Elephas maximus indicus: one gene and its partners. The protein of the gene in region 3 interacts with the protein of the main gene of each other region in a pairwise test. Links are inferred from orthologs where the notes say so. Each region holds a gene or a part of one and is shown on either strand. Other genes may lie near its edges. The genes, in order: EIF3G, ATP-dependent RNA helicase DDX19A and MIF4GD.

What was found.
Region 1: the proteins of MIF4GD (region 3) and EIF3G interact in binary tests that used the Homo sapiens proteins (3 or more experiments, as listed by UniProt). The link is inferred for Elephas maximus indicus from reciprocal best matches to the Homo sapiens genes MIF4GD and EIF3G.
Region 2: the proteins of MIF4GD (region 3) and ATP-dependent RNA helicase DDX19A interact in binary tests that used the Homo sapiens proteins (3 or more experiments, as listed by UniProt). The two-hybrid records come from large-scale screens. The link is inferred for Elephas maximus indicus from reciprocal best matches to the Homo sapiens genes MIF4GD and DDX19A.

What each region holds. Positions count from the first base shown.
Region 1 is NC_064821.1:28,259,044-28,267,132, reverse strand, and holds the start of EIF3G (eukaryotic translation initiation factor 3 subunit G), read left to right. Parts: upstream 1-5,062; 5' UTR 5,063-5,136; coding exon 5,137-5,156; intron 5,157-5,294; coding exon 5,295-5,341; intron 5,342-5,891; coding exon 5,892-5,975; intron 5,976-6,052; coding exon 6,053-6,177; intron 6,178-6,327; coding exon 6,328-6,387; intron 6,388-7,866; coding exon 7,867-7,971; intron 7,972-8,064; coding exon 8,065-8,089. UniProt on the Homo sapiens protein: RNA-binding component of the eukaryotic translation initiation factor 3 (eIF-3) complex, which is required for several steps in the initiation of protein synthesis.
Region 2 is NC_064839.1:40,154,204-40,161,577, forward strand, and holds the start of ATP-dependent RNA helicase DDX19A, read right to left. Parts: upstream 3,051-7,374; 5' UTR 2,966-3,050; coding exon 2,909-2,965; intron 568-2,908; coding exon 519-567; intron 1-518. UniProt on the Homo sapiens protein: ATP-dependent RNA helicase involved in mRNA export from the nucleus.
Region 3 is NC_064837.1:65,598,771-65,605,692, forward strand, and holds the start of MIF4GD (MIF4G domain-containing protein), read right to left. Parts: upstream 3,072-6,922; 5' UTR 2,989-3,071; intron 2,120-2,988; 5' UTR 2,077-2,119; coding exon 1,989-2,076; intron 834-1,988; coding exon 724-833; intron 539-723; coding exon 383-538; intron 271-382; coding exon 178-270; intron 1-177. UniProt on the Homo sapiens protein: Functions in replication-dependent translation of histone mRNAs which differ from other eukaryotic mRNAs in that they do not end with a poly-A tail but a stem-loop. May participate in circularizing those mRNAs specifically enhancing their translation.

The DNA of each region.
Region 1 (8,089 bases), on a different chromosome or scaffold from region 3:
TGGCTTAAAGAAGACTTTAGGGGGTAACTTGGGTTTGAGATTTAAAGATGATCTCAAAGCAATAGTTTCAGGGGTTCACCCAGCCTCAATGGCTCCAGAAAATCTAGATTCCATGAGAATTTTAAATTCTGTTATGCATTTCCCTCCCCCCTTTCAATCAGGATTCTTCTATAGAATCTTTGATCAAAATGTTCAGTAATGATAGCTGGGCACCATGAGCCATAGAGTTTCCAATTGCTGATTTTTCAGAAGTAGATTGCCAGACCTTTCTTCCAGGGTACCTCTGTGTGAATTCTAACCACCAACCTTTCAGTCAGCAGCTGAGTGCTTAATTGTTTGCACCACCCAGGAACTCCACAGAACACTACAAAAAAAAAAATCCAAACTAGTTGGGACTCCTTGGAACACTATTTAAAAAATTAAAAAATGTTGTTGTCGAGTCAATCCCAACTCACAGTGGCCCTATAGGACAGAGTAGAACTACCCCTAGGGTTTCCAAGGCTATAATCTTTATGGAAGCAGATTGCCACATCTTTCTCCCATGGAGCAGCTGGTTAGTTCAAACCACTGACCTTTTAGTTTGCAGCCGAGCGCTTAACTGTTGCCACCAGGGCTCCTTGAAATACTATACGAGGTTAAAATAAAATAGAAAAGTGGAAGTGCGTGCAAATGCAATAAAAAGAGAAAGCATATGCATGAGCGTGGCAAAGCCCAAATTCAGGGGGTGGTTACTTCTCGAGGGTGTTGTTGTTAGGTGCTGTGAGTCGCTTCCAACTCAGAGTGACCCTGTGTACAACAGAACAAAACACTGCCCAGTCCTGCACCACCCTCACAATCATTATGCTTGAGCCCATTGTTGCAGCCACTATGTCATTGAGGGTCTTCCTCCTTTTCCCTGACCCTCTACCTTACCAAGCATGATGCTCTTCTCCAGGGACTGGTCCCTCATCATAACATGTCCAAAGTACATGAGACAAAGTTTCATCACTCTTGCTTCTAAGGAGCATTCTGGCTATACTTCTTCCAAGACAGATTTGTTTACTCTTCTGGCAGTCTGTGGTATATTCAATATTCTTTGCCAACACCATAATTCAAATGCCTCAATTCTTCTTCAGTCTTCTTTATTCATTATCCAGCTTTTGCATGCATATGAGGCGACTGAAAGTACCATGGCTTGGGTCAGGCACACCTTAGTCCTCAAAGTGACATCTTTGCTTTTGAACACCTTACAGAGGTCTTTTGCAGCCCATTTATCCAGTGCAATACATCGTTTGATTTCTTGACTGCTGCTTCCATGGGCGTTGATTGCGGATCCAAGTAAAATGAAATCCTTAACAACTTCAATCTTCTCTCCATTTATCATGATGTTGCTTATTGGCCCAGTTGTGAAGATTTTTGTTTTATCTATGTTGAGGTGTAATCCATACTGAAGGCTCTAGTCTTTGACCTTCAAAGTAGTGCTTCAAGTCCTCTTTGCTTTCAGTGAGCAAGGTTGCTTCGTCTGCATATGGCAGGTTGTTAATGTAATCCTGATGCCCTGTTCTTCTTCAAATAGTCCAGCTTCTAGGATTATCTGCTCAGCATACAGACTGAATAGGCATGAGGAAAGGATACAGCCCTGACACACACCTTTCCCAATTTTAAAGCAAGCAGTATCCCTTTGTTCTGTTCGAACAATTGCTTGTTGGTCCACGTACAGGTTCCGCATGAGCACAATTAAAGCGTTTTAGAATTCCCAGTCTTAGCAATGTTATTCATTGGGAAGGTAACGTGAGGTAAATGTGACAATGGAGGGTGGCAGAAGGAGCTTCAACTGCACTTGTAATGTTTGATTCCTTTTATAGTGATTTGTTGCCTAATACTTTTCTGTATGCCTAAAATACTTAAAAAAAAAAATTAAGTCACAAAACACCCGGATAGCACCCATGTTCAGTGGCTAGCTACTTCTAGACAACTCTAGACCCGTTGCCATCGAGTCGATTCCAATTCATAATGATCCTATAGGACAAAGTAGAGCTGTCCCATAGGGTTTCCAAGGAGTGGCTGATGGATTAGAACTGTCAACCTTTTGGTTAGCAGCCAAGCTCTTAACCATTGTGCCACCAGGCAACTCTGTGTATCCACAGATGCACACAATTTTACCTCCAGGGGTGGTGCTTGTATGGATGGGCCAACATTTAACTAGTTCCTTATTAATGATGCTTGGAAAGTTTTCAATTTTCCAATCCTTTAAGCCACTCTGTGTTGAACATCCTCTTATGGGCAATTTAATGCACTGCGTGCATATTTCCTTAGGTCATCCCTGACCGGAGAATGCAAGATGTGGATACACAAAATATATAAAAAAATATATTACCTCATGTATATATTACATAAATATATATTAATATTAAAAAACCAAACCCGTTGCTGTTCAGTCAATTCTGACTCACAGCAATGCTACAGGACAGAGTAGAACTGCCCCATAGGGTTTCCAAGGAGCAACTGATGGATTTGAACTGCTGGCCTTTTGGTTAGCAGCCAAACACTTAACCACTGCACCACCAAGGCCCCACATATATATGTGTATGTGTGTATATATGTATATAAACTTGTTGCTGTTGAGTCAATTCCAACTCATAGTGACACCATGTAGACCCAGAGTAGAGCTTCTCTGCAGGATTTTTGTGGCTGTAATATTTATGAAAGTAGATCCCCAAGCCTTTCTTTCACAGCACCGCTGAGTGGTTTCGAACTGTCGAGTGCAAACCTTTCATGCCACTTTATATTAATATATATAATTAATATATACAAAAACAAGAGCATTGCCGTCGAGTCAATTCCAACTCATAGCGACCCTACAGGACAGAGCAGAACTGCCCCATAGGGTTTCCAAGGAGCAGATGGTGGATTCAAACCATCTGACCTTTAGGTTAGCAGCTGAGCCCTTAACCACTGTTCCACCAGGGCTCCATATTAATATATTAAGTATATAAAATAAATAATTTTACATTCATGTATATAATTATTTGTATTTAAACCAAAGCAGTATATACACATGGTAAAAAGTCTAAATACAGCAGAAAAGTGCAAAAGTAAGCTTTCCTCCCCTGCTGCCTTCCTCCAAAAGCATCCCTCAGCGACAGTTTCTGAAATTTCCTTCCAGAAAGTGGTTTGCATATACTTGCATATCTATGTCCTATTAAAGAATTATAGAAATTGGATCATGTAACATAAGCCATTCTACATCTTGTCCCCACCCTCCTTGTCTCAGAGATTTGTTTTTACACGAACACAAATGTATCTGCCTCTTTAAAGACTACCCAGCATTTCATAGATTATGGCTAGTGTATCACAATCTATTTAACCAGCCCCTATGGGCTTTTATGTTATGGGTGGACACATAGGCGTTTCCAGTTTTTGCCATCATGAACAATTCTGCACAGACATCTTGTTCGTGCATCTTCGCGTGCTTTTACGAAATTTACTCATGAGTTGAATTATTAACTGGCTGAAAGGAAAATGCATATGTGCCTTTTTAAGTTTTGAGAGATGTTGTCATGTGGATGGACAGATGTATGCACTCCAAAGAGCTTGCATATTTTCATCCCCACCGCCAATTGTGTGTGAGTGTCTGTTTCCTTTACCACCACTGCATAATATCGCATTTAAAAAGTTTTGCCCATCTCCTGCGTTGTTTGGATTTTGCATTTCTTGGAGTAAATTTGAGTAAGTTTCTACAAGTGTTTATTGGCCCTTTGTACAAACTTTATATCTTCATCCATATGGCCAGATCACCCTCCTGAAGGGCTGGACCCACACACCCCTCTTTCTTTGATTCACTTTCCCAGCCTCCTCCCTCCTCTTCTGATATTTTGTTTCCTCCCAATCCACCCTCCACAGGCTTCCAGCATAATCTTTCTCACAAGAAAATTTGTTCACATTGGGCTGGCACTCAGTTTGACTTCACCCATACCCCACAGCCCACAGGATAAAAAGCCCAAACTCCTTAGTTTGGGAAGGCCTTTAAGACTGGGTTTCCACCTGTCCCCCAATCCCTATTATAGAGCACTTACTATGTGCAGACACCTTGTGGGTGGGTGCAGGGAGCCAGAGGGGGACAAAGCAAGGAAACGTCTACTTTTTGTAGGTGAAATTCTAGAGCAGCATTTCTTGACCTTTTTTTCTTTATCATCCACTATGGAAAAAAGTTAAATTATTTTAAAATTTAATTAAAATCAATTACTTAAATCATTTCCAATTTAAATGACATTTAAGTTATCCCTAATGATAGAAATGAGGGATAAAATAGAAAGTCAGCAAAAAAAAAAAAAGGAAGCCCCTCAACGAGATGGATTGACACAGTGGCTGCAACAATGGGCTCAAGCTATTGTAAGGATGGCACAGGGTTTCTATAGGTCCGAACCTACTCAAGGGCACCTAACAACGATAGAAATTACTTAGGAATAAGATTTTGCCTGGTAGAGTTGGGTTTAAAACCCATTGCCATCGAGTCGATTCCGACTTATAGCGACCGTATATGGCCACAAACCATTTTGATTTCTAAGGCTTTTTACTCCTGAGTCAAATTTTCATCTCCTTGGGGGTGCTATTTCTTCGTTGAGAAGACACATTCTAGAGGGATAAGCAAGTAAATAAACTGATTATATCAGAGAGCTAAGACTGCTACACAGAAAATAAGGAAGAGTGGTTGAGGAAACCTAATCACCCCAGTTAGGAAAACCCTCCCCAGACAAGGAAGAACAGCGCAAGCAAAGGGAATGTCTAAGGCAAAGGCCCTCTCACCATTCTAAGCCTTGTTTTTTTTCAGCAACAAAATAGAAATGATAATTTCTTACTCACGGTGCTTGACCCACAGTAAACGTTAAATGAATGTTTTTTTTGTTGTTATTATTTAAATTTTTCATTGTATTAACAGGTAAATGAGATAAGCCCTGAGATGAGCCTTTGCCCCAGCCTGGCTCCTGCTAGGTACCACCGTCCAGGGGCTCATGCAGTCGGCGTCTCCGCCTCCTTCCGCAGGAGGCGCTGTGGGAGAAGCGGCAGGGTTGCTCTAGGCGGCGGAACCGGAAGTCTTGTTCTCCTTCCACTTCCGCTCTCTGGCCCGGGTTCGGACTGCGTGGATAAGGGTTTGAAATGCCGACCGGAGAGTTTGAGTGAGTCTGGGGCTCGCGGATGGGGACCAAGAGGGACAGCTTGGAGGTTCTGGGGAGTTTCATGGGGGTTGGATGCGCCGAGGCGTCGGGGACCGACATCGCCGACCCCACTCTTCCCCCGTAAACTTGTTCCCGCAGTTCGAAGCCCAGCTGGGCCGACCAGGTGGAAGAGGAGGGAGAGGACGGTGAGTACTGTTACCCGGCTCGCCCTGTTACCGCTGCCAGCCCCCAGCCCGATCACTACCTTCTGCTCCAGTCCTCTCCCCTCCGCCCCCGTGTCACCGCGGTCGGACCCCACGTTCCGCATCACGACCCACCCCTACTCCCGCGCCGTCCTGATCGAGGCCAGCCTCCTGCCACCTTCTGGTGTTCACTGTGGCTAGTCCCCCGTCCTCCCATGCCACTGCCCAAGCGTCTTCACAGCTGCTCCCATGCTCCACACCCAGTCCCCTGAGCCTTTGTACTAGCTCGTGGGGGTCTTTCTGGCCTGCCTCCACCTTCATGCCAGGGTCGTAGGGCTTAGTTGCTGGACTCTACTCCGGCCCAGGGATCTTTACCTCCTGCCACTTCCCGAGGTTAACACAACTGGCACCTGCACGACTGCCCTAAGGTACTTCTTGCCCAGTTTTCTGCTCTCCTCAGCTCCTGCTATGGGTATCATCCCAAAGGCCCTTCCATCTCATCTTGGGGCTTCGACCCTTCTAACTGATCCCTCCTCCCTACACACTCTCACAGACAAATGCGTCACCAGCGAGCTCCTCAAGGGGATCCCTCTGGCCACTGGTGACACCAGCCCAGAGCCTGAGCTTCTGCCAGGAGGTGAGTGATGACCTTCACTCTGTTACTGGACTGGATCCCTTCAGAACTCCCTGCCCATCCTGGTCTCCGTTTCCCAGGGCTTGGCTCCCCTCACCACTCCTCCTCTCTCCCAGCTCCACTGCCGCCTCCTAAGGAGGTCATTAATGGAAACATCAAGACAGTGACTGAGTACAAGATAGATGAGGATGGCAAGAAGTTGAAGGTGAGGCTGGGGGAGGGGTTGGGTGCCCTAGTGGTTGGGGACATGGACTGGGATAAGGTGGTGTATGGGGACAGGGTTGGTGAGGAAGATCCTCTGGCCCCAGGAGCCTTGGGACACAAGAAATCCAGCCCTCTACCTTGCTGTCCACAGATTGTACGCACCTTCAGGATTGAGACCCGGAAGGCCTCAAAGGCTGTCGCGAGGAGGAAGGTGAGACCCTCCTCCCCGTCTTTGGAGCTACGTCAGGCCTGATCCAGAGGGACTGGGAGACCTTTTTCCCAGTGCCTTTGCTTCCTGTGGTGGGGTTTAATTGTTTTTACTGAAGCAGAACTGAGGCCTAGGAGTGTTTGCACTCACTTGGGGCCTTGAAAAGTCCAGGGAGCAGGAGGGGGTGTGGTTAGATTTTTATTCCTTTTGGCTTGTCTACCTGGAGGAAAAGAGCCAAGCCATTCTCTGAGGTGGTCAAAGCATCTCCTGTTTACTAGACAAAGTGCTTCTGGAAGAAGTGATAACAATAAATACGATTTTCTGAGCACTTTCTCTGTGTTAGACTCCATGCCAAGTGCTTTGCAGGGAGCATTTTTTTCTTTTTCTTTTTTTATTGTGCTTCAGGTAAAATTTTACAGCTCAAGATAGTTTTTCATTCAGAAAGAATTTTTTTTTTTTTTAATTTTAGGTGAAGGTTTACAGACCTAACTAGTTTTTCATTAAATAGTACACATATTGTTTTATGACATTAGTTAACAATGTCATGATATGTCAACACTCTCCCTTCTCAACCTTAGGTTCCCTATTACCAGCTTTCCTGTCCCCTCCTGTCTTCTAGTCCTTGCCCCTGGGCTGTTGTGCCCCTTTAGTCTTGTTTTGTTTTATGGGCCTGCCTCATCTTTGGCTGAAGGGGTGAACCTTGGAAATGACTTCATTACTGAGCTAAAAAGGTATCTGGGGGCCATACTCTCAGAGTTTCTTCAGCCTGTATCAGGCCAGTAAGTCTGGCCTTTTTTATGAGTTAGAATTTTGTTCTACATTTTTCTCCAGCTCTCTCCAGCACCCTCTATTGTGATCCCTGTCAGAGCAATCAGTGATGGTAGCTGGACACCATCTAGTTGTACTGGACTCAGTCTAGTGGAGGCTGTGGTAGATGTGGTCCATTAGTCCTTTGGACTAATTTTTCCCTTGTGTCTTTAGTTTTCTTCATTCTTCCGGGGAGTATTTTTTTCTTTGGTCCCCATAGCAACCATTTGTGGTCCCCAATTTATAGGGCAGGAAGCTAAGGCTCAGGTTAACTAGCTCAAGGCCCCTCGTGGCCTGGGTGACACCTGGCCCCTTCCCCCCTGCTCTGAACCATTTTTGAGTGCTGCCGCTCCCCAGCATGAGCGAGTTTGAAGTCCACCAGCCCACCCAGGCCCCAGCAGGACTTGTCTGCTCTGCAGCTCTTTCCCAGTCGGAGCTTCTGTTTTTATCGTCTGGAACATGGGGCTGAGAGCTGCGCCTGCCTCCTGGAGCTAGTGTGATGCCAGGGGCTGGCATGCACTCAGGAAATAGGAACTGTTGTTATTGCCATGGGGAGGGCACTTGGGGGGATGGAGAATGGGGGGTTCAAGGCCCAGATTCCCTGGGGGTAGGTGTTCTAGGGCTGGCTGCCAGTGTAGGACCGCTGACCTGTCTCCCATCCTGCCCTGAGCCCAGAACTGGAAGAAGTTTGGGAACTCAGAGTTTGACCCACCAGGGCCCAATGTGGCTACCACCACAGTCAGCGACGACGTCTCCATGACGTTCATCACCAGCAAAGAGGTAAGTGGGCAACAGAATGGGGCTGGTGCACAGAGTGGTGGTGGCAGGGGTATGACAGCCACCCTCTGAGTTGTCTCCCTCTACCCCTGCCAGGACCTGAACTGCCAGGAGGAGGAGG
Region 2 (7,374 bases), on a different chromosome or scaffold from region 3:
CATTATATTAGCAAACAGTTTGCTAATTGTGAGAAAGAAAATGGGAATATAAATCTATATTTATATTTCTTTTGCTTAAAGAAACTTCAAAAGAATATTAATAAGACAAATAACAGTGATTACTTATGGGATGGGGTGGGGAGTGGGACCTCGGTAAATGAGGGACCACAATGGGAAGAAGGGCTTTCAACTTTTTATACTTTGAGTTTTGGACCCAAATTATCTTTCAAAAAATTAAACAAAAATAATTTTCCAAAGAAACCATCTCCAGTAAAGAGTAGCAGTATACTCCAGTGCTGATTGTTGGATTTAAGGAATGAGAGGCTGGATCAAATCTGGAAAACATCACACATCCCTTTCAGTAATTAAGCCTAATTTACTGGCTCTCTAATCCAGTGCTCTCTAATCATTTACCAAATGTTGGGCTAAGTGAAAACTCCTATTCACACTGCAGCAATGAGTGCAAAACAGAAGCACATGTGTAGCTTGTGCCTGGCTTGTAGTTACTACTCACTCACCATTGGTATCTGGTTTGATTTTCTCTTCCTTGATCTGCAAGCTGCTCAGCTGAATGGGAATGAAAGGAAGTAGAGTTAAGCAAGTGACCCAGTTAAAGGAAGACTTTTGGGCACAGGGGAGGTCTCTAGTAAAAGCCTAGCAGGAGCTACTTCAACACCCATCTTCAGGGGCCAGGTTTGTTTTGCTTGATGTAGAATTGACTGGGTGTAAACATCATTTCAAATCTCTTCTACAGCCTAAAAAACAGGGGGAAGGGCAAACTAAATGTAATAGTAGGAAGAAAAAGTATGTCAGCAATCTCAAACCTCTGCTCTTCTCCCAACTCATGCTCTTCCCAGGACATCTAACCTTCAATAAACATATATCAAATATAAACTTTCAAAGGCACAAACACAGCTTGTTTCTAGGTAAAGAATGATACGATGTAAATATCTCATAAGTTTGGTTTTTTTTTTTTAACCCCTAAAACCCATGCTGTATTCAGGCAACACTCAGCAAATAAATTACAGCCCTCTTTCTTGTCTTATCAACCTCCTAGATTATAAATTAGGGAGAAACTTATTTTTTATAATGAAAGTATTGACAAACCCAAGTTCCTGATTTAAAAATCTTACAGAAGCTTGAACAAAATGATTTCTCCTTTACTCCTGGCCACGTACTCCTAGTCAATACAAACTTGCTAAGTTGCAAGCAGAGCAATAATTCATAAATTTGCAAACAACTCTCCACTGTCATGAGAACTATTTTTCTATATTGGAAGAGTAAAGTGTGATATTCAGATGGTATTGTAAAGGTATGTTGTCGGGTTCTGAGGAATACTCAAATCAAGCCCTGGACCACAAGCCTACTAAATAAAGCCCCCTCTCCTTCAGTTTTTAGTCAAGGTCTAAAGTATACTCCCTGCGATATTTTCTATACTGCCCCACTCCAAACCAATCACCTTAAGTTGCAGCCAAAATTATTTGATTCCTGTTCTCTAGGCAAGTCCAGCACTTTGGCACATTTTCTCCTCCTAAAATGTCTTTCGCCGTCATCTCTATCTTAAATATGACTCGATCTCTAAAATCCAGCTCAAATATAAGTTTCTTCACAAGAAATTTCCAGCATTTTCCCACTCATAAATGTCCTCTCCCTCTTCAGAGGTCATTTAAGATGTTGTTCTTACTTCTTTCATAGCACTTCCCACATTGTAGTCTTCCTGGCTAAGACTATAAAGCTTCTTCCTATACTCCACCAGGTTTAACCCATTTTATTTATCTGCTGATGAACTGATAGTACTCCCAAATCAACAAAGCATAGCTGGAGAAGAAACGTAATTTAGGCATTAAAAAGTTATAGAATTCAGCCAAAGATCAGACAGCTAATAAAACAAAATCAGACTAGATGGGCATACCAGCCCAGGGGCAAGGACAAGAAAGCAAGAGGGAACAGGAAAGCTAGTAATGGGAAACCCAAGGTTGAGAAGGGGAGAGTGTTGACATGTAGTGGAGTTGGCAACCAATGTCACAAAACAATGTGTATTAACTGTTTAAAGAAACTAATTTGCTTTGTAAACCTTCATCTGAAGTACAATGAAAAAATACACTGAGTAGATTAAAAAAAAAAAAAGCTACAGAAGGCTTCAGACTACAGGAAAAGTCTTCAGTAAATAGTCTATATTGTCACTACCAACAGTCCATTGTCTCTAAACAAATCTAAACTTTATCTTACCTTTACAGTACACTGAGACATTAAATCTAAACCTGTAAATGTGTTATTTCAATGAAACAGAATGACCATCTACATTTGCCTTTGTTTACAAACGCCACTGGGAAACAGGTGCAACACAGGAATGGTAATAATATACAGTGAAGAGATATTTGCGCTGCGCTGTTAACCTGAAGGTTGGAGGTCCGCGGGGAAAAGACCGGGTTATCTGCTCCCATAAAAATTATAGCCAAGAAAATCCTATGGGGCAGTTCTATTCTGTCACATGGGGTCGCTACGAATAGATGGCATCTAACAACAACAAGTCTTTAACTGGATTAGATGATGATCAAAAGCTCAATGTTGGTCTTTTTAGCCCCAGAGGCAAATTAAAACCAAACCCACTGCCATCGAGTTGACTCGACTCAGTGACCCTATAAGACAGAGTAGAACTGCCCCGTAGAGTTTCCAAGGAGCGCCAGGAGGATTCGAACTGCCGACCTTTTTATTACCAGAAGTAGCTCTTAACCACTAAGCCACCAGGGTTTCCAGAAGCAAATTTAGGGCGCAGTTATTCCCCACGGCAGCAGTGCAGGTCGTGCTGGCCAAAGGCCTGCTCTACCACTCCCTCTCTCTGGGCCTCGAGCCCAGGTCCACCTGGGCCTCTGCTACGTTCTTGCCCCTTTGAGCAGAATCCACTGACCGACTTGACAGCTGCTTCTTGCTCGTCAACCGCCAGAGCCCAGGAGTCGGTGGCCATGGTGCCGGGGGCAGGAGGTGGACACGAGGAAAGATACTGAAGACCACGAGACAACACCGGCCAGACTCTGTCGCCGGCACGAAAACGTCACTCACACGGGCCGGAAGCGGAGGCGCGCGAGAATGACGTCCGATCCGTCAGGTGCGAAAACGTCACCATTCGGCGCCACGTCGCGCCGGCCCTGTGTTTCAGCCCTATTCCGGCGTGGTTAAACCTCCCGCGTTGTATTTGTAGTTCCCTGCTCCTGCCTCGTAGTGCCTTAAATCCGTAAGTTCTTCAAAGTAAAACTGTTTTGCCCTCACTTCACTACCTTACTTCACACTGAAATAACTCGTTTTATTTGTAACTTACCGCGTGTCATATTAAATATGTACGTGCGCTTCTGTGAACCAGAAAGCCTGTATAAAGAAAAACCGTTGCCTTCAAGTCCGTTCCGACTTATAGCGACCCTATAGGACAGAATAGAACTGCCCCAATATGGTTTCCTAGTAGCTGCTGATGGATTGGAGCCCCGACCTTTTGGTTAGCAGCCTGAGTGTCGCAGCAAAAAACCCAAACCAGTTGCCGTTGAGTGGCTCCGTACAAAGAAAAGGCCCGTGAAGAATACTGTATGATGCCAGTTCCTGTTGTCAAGAACGGTAATGTCTAAGAAAACAAAACCCTCTTGTGGAGTCAGCGACCCCATGTAATAAAACACTTTGCTACGCTATGCTAGAGCCCATCATGCAGCCACTGTTTCAGTCCCTCTTGTTGAAGGTCTTCCTCTCTTTCGCTGATCCTCTACCAAGTATGATGTCCTTCTCCAGGGCATGTCGAAAATACGTGAGACGAAGTCTTCCCATCCTCGTTTCTAGGGAGTATTCTGGCTGTACCTTCTCCAAGACAGATGCGTTCCTTCTTCTGGCAGTCCGTAGTATTTTCAGTATTCTTCACCAACACCATAATTCAAAGGCGTCAGTTCTTCTTCGGTCTACCTTATTCATTGTCTGGCTTTCGCATGCATATAAGGTGACTGAAAATACCATGGCTTGAGTCAGATGAACGTTAGTCCCCAAAGTGACATCTTTGCTTTTCAACACTTTAAAAGTCTTTCACAGATTTGCCCAGTGCAATGTCTCCTTTGATTTCTTGACTGCTGCTTCCATGGGTGTTGATTGTGGATCCAAGTAAAAGGAAAACTTGACAACCACAGTCTTTTCTCTGTTGCTTATTGGTCCAGTTGTGAGGATTTTTGTTTTATGTTGAGGTGTAATCCATACTGAAGACTGTAGTCTTTGATTTTCATCAGTAAGTGCTTCAAGTCCTCTTCACCTGCAGCAAGCAAGATTGTATCATCTGCATATGGAAGGTTGTTAATGAGTCTTACCCCAAACCATATGCTGTGTTCTTCTTCATATAGTCCAGCTTCTTGGATTAGTTGCTTAGGATACAGATTGAATAAGTGTGATGAAAGGATACAACCCTAACACACACTTTTCTTGATTTTAAACCACGCAGTATCCTCTTGTTCTTGTCGAACTACTGCCTCTTGGTTTATGTACAGATTCATCATGAGCACAATTAAGTGTTCTGGAATTCGCATTCTTCATAATGTTATCCAGAATTTGTTATGATCCACACAGTCAAATGCCTTTGCATAGTCAATAAAACACAGGTAAAGGTTTTTCTGGTATTCTCTGCTTTCAGCCAAGATCCATCTGATATCAACAATAATACCCATGGTTCCACATCCCCTTCTGAATCTGGCTGGAATTTCTGGCAGTTCTCTGTCAACATACTGCAACTGCTTTTGAATTATCTTCAGCAAAATTTTACTTGTGTATGATATTGTTTGATAATTTCTGCCATCTATTGGATTGCCTTTCTTTGGAAAGGACACAAATATGGATCTCTTCCAGTTGGCTGGCCAGGTAGCTGCCTTCCAAATTTCTTGGCATAGATGAGTGAGCACTCCCAGCACTGCATCAGTTTGTTGAAACATCTCATTTGGTATTCCATCAATTCCTGGAGCCTTCTTTTTTGCCAGTGCCTTGAGTGCAGCTTGGACTTCTTCCTTCCATACCATGAGTTCTTGGTCATATGCTACCTCCTGAATGGTTGAACATCCACCAGTTCTTTTTGGTACAGTGAGTCTGTATTCCTTCTGTCTTCTTTTGATGCTTCCTGCATCATTCAGTATTTTGTCCATACAATTCTGTAATACTGTAAGTCGAGGCTGGAATTTTTTCTTCAGTTCTCCTTGAGAAATGCCGAGCATGTTGTTTCCTTTTGGTTTTCTAACTTTAGGTTTTTGCACATTTCATTATAATACTTTGTCTTCTCAAGCTGCCTTTTCAAATCTCCTGTTCAGCTCTTCATCATTTCTTTTGTTCGCTTTAGCTACTTGAGGTTCAAGAGCAAGTTTCAGAGTCTCTTCTGATATCCATTCTGTTTTCTTTCTTTCCTGTCTTTTTAACGACCTCTTGCATTCTTCATGTATGATGTTCTTGATGTTATTCCACAACTCGTCTGGTCTTCCGTCATTAGTGTTGTGTGCAACAAATCTATTCTTGAGATAGTCTCTAAATTCAGGGGGGATATACTCAAGGCCCTATTTTGATTCTGGTGGACTTGTTTTAATTTTCTTGAGTTTAACTTGAACTTGCATATGAGCAATTGATGGTCTGTTCTGAAGTCAGCCCCTGGCCTTGTTCTGTCAGTTTGTTGTACTGTGGTGGCTTAGTTTGTTGTGCTGTGATGCTGGAAGCTATGCCACCAGTATTTCAAATACCAGCAGAGTCACCAGTGGTGGACAGGTTTCAGTGCAGCCTCTAGACTAAGACAGACTAGAAAGAAAGACTTGACAGTTCTGAAAAAATTGGCCAGTGAAAACCTTATGTATAGCAGCAGAATATTGTGTGATATAGTGCCAGAATATGATCTTCTCAGCTTAGAAGTCACTCAGAAGACGACTGGGGGAGAGCAGCCTCCTTAGAGTTGACCTTGATGACGTGGATGGAGTAAAGTTTTTGGGACCTTCATTTGCTGAGGTGGCATGACTCAAAATGAGAAGAAACAGCTGCAAACATCCATCAATAGTCAGAATGTGGAATGTATGACATACGAATCTAAGAAAATTAGAAGTTGTCAAAAATGAAATGGAATGCATAAAGATCAATATCCTAGGCATTAGTGAGCTGAAATGGACTGGTATTGGCCATTTTGAATCAGTCATATGGTCTGCTATGCCAGGAATGACAAATTTTAGAGGAATGGCATCACAATCCTCGTCAAAAAGAACGTTTCAATATCTATCCTGAAGTTCAATGCTGTCAGTGATAGGAGTAATATCCACACGCCTACAAGTAAGACCAGTTACTAATTGTGGCTATTATTCAAATTTACACACCAACCACTAATGCCAAAGATGAAGAAATTGAAGATTTTTACCAACTTCTGCAGTCTGAAATTGACCAAACGTGCAATCAAAATGCTTTGATAATTACTGGTGATTGGAAAGCAAAGTTGGAAATGAAGATCAGTAGCTGGAAAATATGGCCTTGATGATAGAAACGCTACCAGAGATCGCATGACAGAATTTTGCAAGACCATCAGTTTCTTCATTGTAATTACCTTTTTTCAACGACATAAATGGTGACTATACATGTGAACCTCACTGGATGGAATACACAGGAATCAAATCAACTACATCAGTGGAAAGAGACAAAACCCTTAAACCCCCAGTTATTCTACCATGGGGTTGCTGTGAGTCCAGAATGACTCAATAGCACCTAACAATTTCACCACTCCAGTGAACACACACCCACACTCACACCCACACTAGTGTTTCCTTTTCTTCTGGGTCCTTCTATTCTTTGTTCATATGCATCAATAGCACGGGTATTGTACATAATCCTAAACAAAGTATACATACAATTTCAATTTTCATCTTTTTATTATATGAATATGTATTTTTTATGTCATAATTTACTCATTTAATTGTGGTATAATAGTGCATCAAGAGCATATAAATTACCTAAGGCCCCCACCCCTTCCCTATTAATTGGTGACAGTTCGGTGAACATCTGGATACCATCAAAAATCATCTTACTTGCCTCCTTCCAGTTTACTTTTTGACTTTCCCCACTAGAAGACGAACTCTTGAGAAAGAACCCTCACAGTGCTCTCCTGGTCTCTCGTGGCCTTGGGCCTCCCTCCCAGCCACTGCTCCAGGCCAGCCACCCAGCCAATCATCAGAAGGTGACAGCCCTTCTCCAGGCTGGATCCAACTGACCCTTTGGGCCAGAAAGCAGCCTGAGACCCCAGTTGAGTGAGCATGGTACATTGAACTGCGTCGTGTACAGAATTTGCTGATCTCATAATGTTTGTTGTCTTCATCACTCAAATGTGAGTCTCGTGGTCAGGGACCT
Region 3 (6,922 bases):
TTGCTGTCTGTTCTGGATAAATTCCACACCTGGCACTGTGACAGGCCTTGAATACCCCCAGCAGGCACCTGCCCCAGGAAGTGGTGCCCTCAAAAGCCTCCATGGACAGTGAGCTGGCTCTCTGAGCTGTGCCAGACTGCCCAACTCTGCAGCCCTCAGCTGTACCTGGCCACCCACCTCCTCCTCTTTGTTCAGGCTGTCAGGCTGAGCCAGCCGGAAGAGGCAGTCGTAGACGGGGTTCACCAGGGCCATCATGGGCATGTTGTTCACCTTGAGGGGGGAGAGGGGTCAGAGCACCAGGCTGAGTGGCAGTGGGGAGCAGGCCAGCCTGGGCTTTGGGAGATGGGCTGTCTGTGACCCAAGGTGGCTACTGGGGCCTCACCCTCAGGTAGTCAAAGATGTTGCAGATGAAGGTGACATAGCAGACCCAGCCCTGCAGGGAGCGGGCTCGCAGCTGCTCCCGAGCCTGGTACTCCTGCTGCAGCCGGTTGAGGAGTCCACGTCGGAAGACACTCTGGCCTGCTTGCTTGCTCTCTGCCTGTGAGCCATGGAAAGGCTGGTGAGCAGCAGGGGGAGGTGCCATCCCAGCCCCTACCCAAGCACCCTTGGTTCAGGGCCCACCTGCCCCATCTTTGAGTCTGTCTCTGCCCTGCTGCTGGCCAGGCTTCTGCCCACTCCTGGAGCACCTTCCCCAGAACATCTCCCCTTTACAACCCCTCCAACCTGGATGATGGCGTAGCACATGCGTCCCGCTTCCTTGCTGAACACACAGTCCTGCAGGGAATGGTCCACAATCACATTGGCCACTTTCTCCAAGTTCACAGCACCTGGATCTAGAGGCAGAGAGAGGAGGGTTGTCCTTGTTGGGTGCTGTCGAGTCCGACTCAGTGACCTCCGCCTATTTATCACAGTCACCTCCACCTTCTAGAAAGGACGTGAGAAGCTTACAATAGAGCACACCCATTGTGTGTGTTCCCCACTGACAGGGGTTCCTAGCCAACGACTCCACCATAAGTCAGTTCTGATGTAAGTCGAATACCTCATTTTGTTTTCATTATTATTGCCTTTTATTATCAGTATCTTTATAATCTGATCTTTATTTGTCTTTGGGGGGTTGGCATGAGAATGGTAACCAGCAAATTACATGCTGCAACACTAATAAATGTTACTAAAGATAACATGTACAAAAAAAAAAGGATGGTTGTAGGCGCAGTCAGTTGTAACTCAAATATGTCATAAGTCGGGGACTACCTGCATATACTTAAATTTAAAGAGATCTGAAAACATAAAGAGAGGGGGACAATAGGCATACATAGAAGCAGATACTGAAATTGGGCTCTAGCTTTGAGCTTCCTGGTTGCCCAAAGAAAAACCTGGAAGGGTTATGTGGTTTTTCTAGACTAGTGTTTCAGGACCCACATTTTTTCCTGACACTAGGCTGAGGAAGGCGTTCCATGTTCATTTTACAAGGGACACTGAATAGCGATGTCTTAACAGCAATTCCATGGGAGGAAGTATTCTTGTTAAGAGCAGCTGCGTAGTGCTTGGCACGTGATGGGCATTGCTAATTGTTAGCCGAGTCTAACAGGAGTTTAACTATGTCTCCTCTGCCAAGCAGAATACATCATCCTCTGTCCCAAGGCAGGCAGCTCTGCACATTAAAGAGAGCTGGCTGCAGCCAAGCAGAAACCAGGACCACAAATGTAAGGGCTTAAAATGCAGAAACTATGTGTTCTCTGGGCCCTACACCCCTTCCATGGGTACTTTTTAAAAAAGGCTTTGCAGTCTGAAAGGGGAGTCTGTGACTCACACTCCCAAATACCGGTCTACATGGAGCCTGTCCTCCAGTTCAGGAGTTACGTTGCTAACTCCCGCTCTCAGCAGACAAAGGGAACAGGCTGGGCAATCCCGTTCCCTGCGTGCCCTCAGCTCAGGCCTCTGGTCCTGCTCCCGCCTGGCCCCTTCTCAGACGGGGCTCCCCTCTTCACCTTTGAGTGCTGTCTTCAGCAGCTGCTGGGTCTCTGCATCAAAAGACTGGATTTTATACTCCTCTCTACTGGGCTCCCCCATGACCATCCGGCCCAGCAGCTCTTCACTGGCATTGGACTACTGAGGGCACCTGGGGAGAAGGCAAAGTGAAGGGAGATGACTCAGGTGTGGGGTGTGTTTCCAGTGCTGCAGACCCTGGTGGGGCTGGCCAGGGATTGGGACAGGTGCTTCTGAGCCAGCCATGGCACTTGGAGGCTGGCTGAGAGCCACCAAGCTTGGCATTTTGGTGGAGACAGGACACCAGCCAGACACCTGCTGCTCAGTTTAGGAAACTCCAGGTTTGAGCGATTAAAGACAAGGGCGAATGAGGCTACGCTACAGTCCCAGCAGGAAGGCAGGGTTTATTCCCAGCTGACAGGACAGCAGGTTGAGGCTGTGTGCTGAGCTGGGAGAGTGGCTAGGTGGGTATCGGAGACTTCTGCCCGCCTCTGAACAGACTTGCCTGGCCTTATGTAAACCGGCCTGGAAACTGCTGGCACAGCACGATTTCGGGCAAGAGTTGGTGCTGGGGGCTCCAAGCTGCGGACCCTCAGCTCCAGCAGGGTTCCAAGCCCCTCTTCCCAACCCTCCCTCGGCTTCCATGTGAGTCCTTTTCAGTCCACCAAACCCATCCCTCCAGCCCTCAGGTGGGTGCAGGAGCCTTCTCTGCCGCCCCTGAGCCCGAGCTCCCACGGCTGGCCAGAGTCTCCCCAGGGACGAACTGGCTAAACCGGCGCAACCCACCCAGGGCTCCTAACTCCTGAGCTCCATTCTGAATCCTTCCCCTTAAGCAAGGGAGCGGGATGTGCCCACCGAGAGGGAGCCCGGGTGGGGTCCCCTCCCGGAGTTGGTGTCGCTCTCCCCTCAGGTCAGAGGAGGCGAGCCTTAGGGGTCTCCAGACAGCTGCCGCTTTCCCAAACCCCGAACGCCCTTCCCGGCGCCGCGAGTACCGGGACCCACCTGCCGGAGCGGCGCCGCGCCCGCGTGCCCGGGAACCGCTCGGCGGGCACGGCGCGCGCGCCCGCGGACGCGGCGCAGCCGGTGCGGCCGGCGCGCCTCGCCGCCGCTTAGGTCATTTCCTAGTGCGGCGGGCCTGGGAAGGGGCGGAGCCTGGGAGGGGCCGGGCCCAAGGGGCGGGGCCGAGGAGCCACGCCGGCACCGCCTGCCGGAACCCCGAGGACGCGTCTGTCGCAGCCCGGCCCGCCCCGAGGGCCGGATTCCGGGGCGTGGGGCTGACTCGGACGCTGCGCGCAACGTCGCGACACTGCCACCGCCCCAGAATGAGCTCACTCTGCCCCTGTCCCCTCCTCACCCACTAAGCCCCGTCCCCGCGTGGGACCACAACGGCTCGTAGGCGCTGGGCTGCACCTGCTTCCTGGCCTGCTTGAAACCTTCGGGCTTAACATGGGCACCCCTCCGTTCCCCACGCCGGGGTTCAGGTTAATAGGGTCAAAAAGGAGACGCGGGCGTGCCGCACAGGGTGGGAGAAGCCTGGAGAGGGCGCGGTCCAGCCAGAGTGGAGGGGAGGGTGGGCTGGAAGGCTGGAGGGGCAGGATCATCACACGTGAGAGGCCAGGGTCCCCACTCTTACTCCCATGGCAGAGGAGACGCAGGGGGCCGTTGAGGCTGGATCAAATTCCACTATCCCCCTCTTCTACTCTAAGTACTAAGGAATCTGGTAAAATAAGTTTAAAATCAAGTGGGCAGTCCAAGAAATGGGTCACAATTGTTAGTGTATGCCAGGCAGGGTGTTGGAAGCGACCTGGAAGTTGAGCAAGCCCCCTGACTCGGTCTTTCTTGACTGGGGCTGAGAGGCTGGCTGACCACGCAGCCCAAGAACTGCACCGTGTTGTGTTCCCCGTCCTCCCGCCCCTCCCCAGGCTGCCCAGGGAGGTCGACTTCAGGTTGTGGGCACCCAGAGGATGGCAGAACTACTGCCTTCTCCGTCGGCTTGGACAAGAGGGGGTGTGCATGGCAGCTGCTTGTTGCCAAAGTTCTCCCCTCCTTTTACAAAGAGTCCCCAAAGCGGTTACTTGGAAAAGGCTGGGGCAGAGAACTCTCATCTACAGCATAAAAAAAACTGAGAATAAACTTTACTGCAATAGACTCACTCTGGAATTTCATAAGAAACACACGCAGGCAGCCGCCTCCTGCAGTCAGAGGCCCAAGCCTTAAACACCCCTCCAGCAGCCAAGGCAAGGCAAGCCAAGGGCAGAGGAGACGTCTGTGTCCAGGACCCAGGCACACCACAAACGCCAGACCAGGCCAGGGGGCAATAACAGTATGAGAAGGGGCCCAGGACCAGAGCCAGACACCCACCTCCACCTGCTCCTGGCAGGGGTCTTCCTCAGCAACTAGTCAGGGCAAAGGCTGGAGCAAGAGCCCGGAGCGAGGGCAGGCTCCCCACTCAGGCTGGGTTAAGGCCTGGTTAGGAGTCCACTTGCTCCTCCATCCTAGCTCCACTGTTGAAGCCAGCTAGCAGGCTGGAGGGAAGGGGGCTGGTGAGCAAGGATGGAAACGTGGTGGTTGTGTTGTGGATTTTCTTCTCCTCTCATACCCCTAACTGAAGTGTCTCCTCTGTGTCTAGATAAACATCTCTTGGGGCTCCTGCTGCTGACAACCCCTCCTGGGCACTAAATGGGTCCTCTCAGGGCTGGCTGGCTGCCCAACCCCTTCCTCCGGCCATCCCTTTCACTGGGCTGCTTCAGACTCGTGGCCTTTTGGGGTCACAAAGTTGGGGTCTACATACAGTGCCATGCTCTGAGCCAAGGAGGGGCACCCCAATGCTAGCTGGGCCAGCTGTGAACTCCCACTTGCCCCGGAGGGCTGGCCCAGCACCCAGTAAAAGGAGGGCAGACCAAGGTAGACAGGGGCTAGGGCTGCCACCTTTCTCCTCTCCTCCTCCCCATCGGCACCCCCTTTCCCCAACTTACCACCTTCACCTGGCAATCTCCCTGCAGCACTAAAGCAGAGCTTGCTGAGGGCTGCAGCTGTGGAGAAGAATGGAGCTGGGGAGGGCAGTGTCCCTTCCCTCACACTGTGAGAAGGGGTGTGATTTGTGTGGAAAAGCGGAGGGGTAAGATAAGGAATGGCATCACATTCATCGTCAAAAGACCATTTCAAGATCTATCCTGAAGTACAATGGTGTCAGTGATAGGATGATATCCATACCCAACAAGGAAGACCAGTTAATACAGACTATTACTCAAATTTACTCACCAACCATGAACTCCAAAGATGAAGAAATTTAAGATTTTTACCAACTTCTGCAGTCTGAAATTGATTAAACATGCAATCAAGATGCATCAATAATTACTGGTGATTGGAATACAAAAGTTGGAAACAAGAAGGCTTGGTAGTTGGAAAATATGGCCTTAGTGACAGAAATGACGCTGTAGAGGGCATGATGGAGTTTTGGAAGACCAACAACTTACTCATTGCAAATACCTTTTTTCAACAACATAAATGGCGGCTAGACACTTGGACCTTGCTGGATGGAATACACAGGAATCAAATTGACTACATCTGTGGAAAGACGATGGAGAAGCTCAATATCATCAGTCAGAACAAGGCCAAAGAATGACTGCAGAACACCATCAATTGCCCATATGCAAGCTCAAGTTGAAGAAAATTAGAACAAGCCCACGAGAGTCAAAGTTAACTATGAGTATATCCCACCTGAATTTAGAGACCATCTCAAGAACAGATTTGAAGCATTGAACACTAATAGGCCAGATGAGTTGTCAGATGACATCAAGGACATTACGCAAGAAGCAAAAGGTCATGAAAAGGACAGGAAAGAAAGAAAAGATCAAAAGGGATATCAGAAGAGACTGTGAAACTTGCTCTTGAATGTAGAGTAGCTAAAGCAAACAAAAGAAATGATCACGTAAAAGAGCTGAACAAAAAATTTCAAAGGGCAGCTTGAGAAGACAAAGTATCAAAATGAAATGTGCAAAGACCTGGAGATAGAAAACCAAAATGGAAGAAAATGCTCAGCATTTCTCAAGCTGAATGAACTAAAGAAAAAAATCAAGTCTTGAGTTGCAATAATGAAAGAGTCTATGGGCAAAATATTGAATGATGCAGAATGCATCAAAAGAAGATGTACAGTCATTGTACCAAAAAGAAGTGGTCCATGGTTAGCCATTTCAGGAGGTAGCATATGATCAAGAATCAATGATACTGAAGGCACTGGCGAAAAACAAGGCTCCAGGAATTGACAGAATATCCACTGAGATGTTTCAACAAATGGATGCAACACTGAAAACGCTCACTTGTCTATGCCAAGAAATTTGGAAGACCAGATACCTGGCCAACAGACTGGAAGAGATCCATATTCAAGCCCAATCTAAAGAAAGGTGATTCAATGGTGTTATGGATTGTGTCACCCAAAAATGTGTATCAGCTTAGCTCTAGGCAATGATTCCCAGTATTGTGTGGTTGTCCACCATTTTGTGACCTGATGTGATTATCCTATGTGTTGTAAATCCTAACCTCTATGATGTTAATAAGACAGGATTAGAGGCAGTTATGTTAATGAGGCAGGACTCAATCTATAAGATTAGGTTGTATCTTGAGTCAATCTCTTGAGATACAAAAGAGAGAATCGAGCAGAGAAGGACCTCATTACCATCAAGCAAGAAAAACCAAGAGTGGAGCATGTCCTTTGGTCAGGGTCCTTGCCCTCACAAGCTCCTAGACTGATGACAAGAAACTGATATAGAGAGAAAGCCTTCCCCTCAAGCTGGCACCCTGAATTCAGACTTCTAGCCTCCTAAGCTGTGAGAGAATAAACTTCCGTTTGATTAAGCCATTCACTTGTGGTATTTCTGTTACAGCTGCACTAGAGAAATAATACAAACAGAACGTGGAAATTATAGAACAATATCAT